2 linked regions of the Saccharomyces cerevisiae S288C genome follow. The protein of the gene in region 1 binds, or shares a complex with, the protein of each later gene. Each region holds a gene or a part of one and is shown in the gene's direction. Other genes may lie near its edges.

The links.
Region 2: MRPS17 (region 1) and QRI5 share a complex: the UniProt entries of both Saccharomyces cerevisiae proteins name them as parts of the mitochondrial small ribosomal subunit.

What each region holds. Positions count from the first base shown.
Region 1 is NC_001145.3:635,678-639,035, reverse strand, and holds MRPS17 (mitochondrial 37S ribosomal protein uS17m MRPS17), read left to right. Parts: upstream 1-2,031; coding exon 2,032-2,745; downstream 2,746-3,358. Other genes in the region: GCV2 (glycine decarboxylase subunit P), read right to left, coding at 1-1,536; YMR187C (uncharacterized protein), read left to right, coding at 3,052-3,358. UniProt on the Saccharomyces cerevisiae protein: Component of the mitochondrial ribosome (mitoribosome), a dedicated translation machinery responsible for the synthesis of mitochondrial genome-encoded proteins, including at least some of the essential transmembrane subunits of the mitochondrial respiratory chain.
Region 2 is NC_001144.5:550,430-553,105, forward strand, and holds QRI5 (mitochondrial 37S ribosomal protein mS38 QRI5), read left to right. Parts: upstream 1-1,840; coding exon 1,841-2,176; downstream 2,177-2,676. Other genes in the region: MSS51 (Mss51p), read right to left, coding at 221-1,531; HMX1 (Hmx1p), read right to left, coding at 2,295-2,676. UniProt on the Saccharomyces cerevisiae protein: Component of the mitochondrial ribosome (mitoribosome), a dedicated translation machinery responsible for the synthesis of mitochondrial genome-encoded proteins, including at least some of the essential transmembrane subunits of the mitochondrial respiratory chain.

The sequences.
Region 1 (3,358 bases):
GTCAAACACTTTTAGTAGATTTTCAACATCAGCTTTTGTAGTTGTTTCATCAAGAGCCAAGGAAATAGTGGTGGTGTCCACGGCAAACAAATTGATATTAAATTCTTTCAAGGCCTTGTCCAATAACTGCTCGGAGGATATGCCATTACCTAACTTTATAGTCAAAGTATCAAACCATGTTTTATTAATTAGTTCGTGAGGGCAACTGTCATTTTCGATGGCATTTGCCAATATTGATGTTAAGCTAAATATCCTCCTGGAAATATTCTGTAGGCCCTTAGGACCGTGATAAACACAGTAGCTCGAAGCAACATTAGCCAGTAAAGCTTGAGCGGTACATATATTTGAAGTTGCCTTATCACGCTTGATATGTTGTTCTCTTGTTTGGAGGGCCAACCGCAAGGCCGTCTTGCCTAAGCGGTCTTTAGAGATACCGACAATTCTACCTGGAATTTTTCTGTTTAATTTATCAATAACAGCGAAAAAAGCAGCATGAGGACCACCATAACCCATTGGGACACCAAATCGTTGAGAGGAACCCAGGACGATATCAGCACCGTAATGAGCAGGTGGTTTTAGAAGTGTCAAAGCCATTAAATCTGAGGCCACAGAGAGCAAAGACTTGTGAGAGTGTAACGCATCAGATAACTGTTTCATCGAGTCAGGCGGTAAGATTGAACCATCTGTCGCTGGATATTGAACCAAACAACCAGATACGTCGGGGTTCTTTAAAACATCCACAGCTTTCTTGATATCCGAACAGTCAACTTCAATAATTTCAATATTGAACGGCTTGGCTCTGGTGTGAAGGACACTCTTTGTTTGCTGGTGTAATTTTTTATCTATTACGTATTTTAGTTTCTTTTTTCTGGAAATATTGAATGACAAGAGCATAGCTTCTCCAGCCGCTGTACCCTCATCCAACAATGAGGCGTTCGCCACAGGCAAACCAGTCAAATCTGAAACAACCGTTTGAAAGTTTAATAGCGCTTCTAGCCTACCTTGAGAAATTTCGGGTTGATAGGGCGTATAAGAAGTATACCATTCTGGACTTTCTAGCAGGTTTCTTTGTATAACCGGTGGTAAAATCGTACCGTAGTAACCCTTACCTATGAAATTTTTAACTTTATAGTGGTTCTTATTGGCAATCTTTTCTAGATGTTGAAGCATTTCTTGTTCACAGAATCCCTTACTAGGAGCTTCTAGTTTCAAGGGTCTTCTCTTCAAAATATTGGGAGGAACGAGCTCTTCTATAAATGCGTTTAAATCGCTATAACCCATTGTTTTTAACATTTTCTTAACGTCGCTAGGAGAAGGACCTAAATGACGTCTAGCAAAAGTATCTAGCGGTCTATCAATGTTTTTCAAGTCAGGATTGAAAATCCTGCTGTACTGTGTAGACGTTATGTCTGTAGCGGCTGTTTTGAGCAAAATAGATTGAGAATGGAATGATCTAGTCCTCGCTAATGAAACATAATTGGTGCTTGACCTGACAGTAGCCCTACAAAGGAGAGCAGTCACTCTTGTCCTAAGCATGTTATCTTCCTGGTATTAGGAAACGTTTTTCCAATAAACTGTGGTTAGTTGATGGTTAGATCGCGCAGCAATCAATACAGTAAGATTGGTACACACGAGAAAGACTAATTCACTGGAACTTGAAGAGAAGAAAATTGTGCCACTCGAGCCTGCTATATATACATCCATTTATATTCGTTGGAGATCTTTCGACTAGCTTATCAAGGTCCTTCACAGCTCAATGCTGACTTCGATGACTCCTCTGAGAGTCATGACTCCGAAAAGGAGGAGTCTATACCTCAAGAAGAGTCAGAGATGTCGGGTAACGATTCAACCGGGTAACATGATTGTTATTTCATAAGATTAGAATTCTGAAGCAATTTGGGATTGTGCCAAACCAATGCGAGCATCAAACTGTTAGAGGAAATCCACAAATAAGGCCAAACAGAAGTAAACTCAGGGAGTTGAATTCGGGTTAGAGATTTCAAAAGTCAAATCAAGATCAGTTAAACTGTAATGGCTCGCCAAAATTTTTTAGGCTTGGTCGTCTCCCAAGGGAAGATGCAAAAGACGGTTAAAGTACGTGTAGAAACAAAAGTCTTTAATAAGAAAATCAACAAGGAGTTATTTCATAGAAGAGATTATTTAGTGCATGATGAAGGTGAAATATCAAGGGAGGGTGATTTAGTAAGGATAGAAGCGACGAGGCCGCTTTCAAAGAGGAAGTTTTTTGCCATTGCAGAAATTATTAGAAACAAGGGTCAACAATTTGCATTATACGAATCAGAAGCTCAGTTAAGCGTTGCAAAAGAAGAAGCCCAAAAGGCAAAAGAATTTTTGGATAAAAGATCAGTGAGGGAGAATAAACTAAATGAAAAAACAACCCTTTTACGTGATATTAGGACCATCCAAGATGCTTTATCTAGCGGGTCAACGCCGAAAGAGTTATTGGAGATTAAACAAAGGTACGGCATTCAAGATTTTTCACAAGAAACAGTGAGGCAACTTTTACAGTTAGACATCTCTGGATTGGAGGTTAATTTGGAGAAACAAAGAAGTCTCATTGATCGTATTCAAACGCGATTATCCGAATTGTTGTCGAATGATCTAAAATGTGATCAATTTTTGAAGGATCATGGTGTTGAGGATCCTTTGACCTTGAAAAAAAACATCAAAAAAAATTTGTTAAGAAAGCACGTCATGATGGATATGCAACAACCAAGCCAGTAAATAAAAGAAAGAGGAAAGCCGAGTGTCATATTTTCTCAACTAAAGCACTACACTCTGTAAATATATACAACTACAAGACTTCGTTACGTAAATAGTAAAGTGTTATGTTTTGACTTTAAAATATTCTAGTGAAAAGAACGATGTTTTTGATTTTCTATCGTTTAACGCATTTATATATTTTCAGGCAAGTGATATCGAAGATGTGAGTACATCGCTCGTCCCCATCGTCAAAAACAAAAGTAAATAAAAGAGCTCTGCTCTGATTTTACAAACAAGAAAATTCCAAGGAAATAGTCCAAGTTTTATATGACCCCACCTCATTTTTTTTTATCTCTCATAAAAAAAAGATGCATATGCTGGATATGTTTGGAAGAATCCACATATGACTCTACATGGCTACAGCACACGTGCGGTTGCAACTTACAAATTCATAAACGCTGCTATATAAGATGGCTCTATCAAATGCATGTTGAACTTTTTCTTCCGAACACAGTGGACCTACCAAAGGATGCTGATTTACCTATAATCACCTGTTTAAAATGTCTCGTTGATGGGCACCATGATTTTATGACGACTTTCTCTCTTACAGAAATATGGGAAACTCGTCCCATTT
Region 2 (2,676 bases), on another chromosome or scaffold:
TCCGAAAAGGAAAGGATATGTCATGGCAACTGTAGTCAGTATACTACTGTATAGGTGAATGGATTAGTTAATGGACTATTAGGTCAACCATTACGAAGGGGGTGGGGTTAGTATTTTTGTATTTACAGATATTGAGATATCATACATAAGAAAAAAATTATAATAACGGTAGAAAACGCATATATTTATAAGATGAAAGTTGGGCATGGCCTCCCGATAATCATTGTCTCTTGATTGTATGGTACCTTTTACCTCTGAACCCGGCAATATACATGTTAAATTGATAAACTTCTTGAGGATTCATGTCATTTAATTCCCACTTCGTACTTCCAAATACGTTTCTGACGGGCTCCATTAAGACATCCATTTCCTTACCGTATTTGGATTTGACAAGATTTATGTCGTCCGTTAGGTCTTTCTTATTGAAACCCGTTGTGAAGATAGCACATTTTGTTTCCAGTAATGCCTTCATAGTTTCACCCATCCATGAACCGTGAGATTCTGGAGATGCGTAGCCTGGATGGAAAGTAAAAAAGACATCCATGTATGGATCGTATGGGAAAAAATCTTGAGCCTCATGGAATACTTCGAAAAAGTTTGTACGATAAATGAATTTCAGAGTCTCGTCTACTCTTTGTACTACCGGCGTAGTAGACTTGACGTACTCCTGTTTATCCCTTTTATACAGGCATTCGGGTCCAATGAAATGTATTTCGAAACTCTGCTCTGGGAAAAGAAACTGGAGCTGTTTCCAAACGTGGCCCGGCAATTGAGCTTCAGCACGTGCACCTAGGATGAAAATTCTCATAGCACGGTTCTTAGTTGTGGTTGGTAAAGATCTATTCTCCAACGGATATAAAGTATACCTGAGAGCAGCCAGAGATTTTAGACCTTCTAAGGTGATAGGCCCCTTTGGGTTCAATGAATACGGGGAAAATTTGTGCAGCAAAGACCCAATCGTAATTGGATAGCTTAGCATCTTTGTGACTGCGGCTAATTGGAACTCTGTATCCATGGAATAGAATGATCTTGTGTAGAAAAACAAATCCCAGTTTGTTAGGTTAACGGCCTTGTCGTAGCCTTGCTGTTGGGGAAAATCAAACTCCGGGAAGGGTCTACCGCTTCTTAAGTCATGCTCATAAATATTAACTTTTTTCAGGATTTCATATTTTTTAGAATCGTGATATGCTTTATCCATCTCCCAAGCCTCTCGTGAGTGATGAGTCGGAATTCCTGACAGAGGACAAGTGTAGTTAATATCTTTGCCGGTAACAGGGCAGTGTGCTAGCGTTCTAATCTTGGCGGCCCTTTCACGCAAGTCCACTGAGGGAGACTGATCCCATGGATGGAATCTGTTCTCCGGAGTAGGATCTTCTGGAGAGGGAGGAGGATCCAATCCAAGGGCGTTCCTAACGAACCCCATGAGGTGACGACGTGTTTGGTGAGAGACAACTAGCCTGTTGTGTGGCGACTTCCTTAGCAGATGGAAATATAGCTGAGTAGCACCCGAAGGAGCATATAGCACGGTCATAGTTCTGGAAGTACAAGTTTGCCAAACTACTTTAAGTCCACCTTCGCAATATCTACAGTGTTCTGCGCTTATAAAGTGTAAAAAAACTACAACCAAAGGCCCGCCCTTAGTAGTTGACCAAATATCTACTATTGTCTCTTGTCAGACTCCTTTGGATTATTTTCTTCGAGCCGCTTTTTCGTAGCGCATGATAAAAAGAGCCCTTTCCCCATACTGCACACTTAAGTGAATGCCAAATATAATATCAAGAGCGAAAGGCGGTTGAGTTCCAGCCAAGACGAGCACACACGACACCAGAACGAGATAAACATGCTAGGAAGGGCATTGCGACCTGGGTGGCTGGGCATTACTAGGACGGTGGTTAAGAAACCAAGTTGCGGGTCCTACTTTAACAGAACCTTTCAAACAGCAATTAACACTACAATGCCTCCCATGCAAGAGGGCATGCTGAGTACAATGATGATGATGACGGCTACGGCAACAAGGATCACTGGCACAGTCAGTGAGCCATTAAACGGTTCAAATATAGTGATGCAACTCGATTCAGTGATGAGAAAGAGGAAAAAAAAGATGAAGAAACACAAACTGCGGAAAAGAAGAAAGAGGGAGAAGGCAGAAAGAAGAAAGCTATCTCAGGGTAGATAATAGGGCTGTAAAAACCTCTCACATGTTTTTCTCTGCTGTTTTTCCTTCCCTATTCTTCATATTTTGATATTATTTCATGTATATATTATGTTTGTATTTAGACTTTTTTTTTTATACGTTATACTATGCTAAGAAAACTCTTTACCAAGAAGTAAAGAACCCAGATCGCGATAATAGAAAGCACCAGCAGCATGACCGTGTGGAGTGCTCTTCTAGTAGCAGAATCCTTGTTGAACATCCATTCTTCGTACAAGTACGTAATACACTTGAAGCTGAACTTGCCCATTAACTCGCGACGATTCAACTCTCCAATTTCTGCAACGATGTTGAAGTTCCAATCAAAAATGCCTTCTGCGACGCTAATGATCTGCAACTTTTGTGCTTCGGTCAATTCCGTCCTGGTGGCCAGCTCATAGTTCTTCTTGTATTCCCATTTCAAGCGTGTTTCTTCAGTGGGACCCAGATCGCTGAAGGTGAAGAAGTTTGTGCCCTTTTTGACC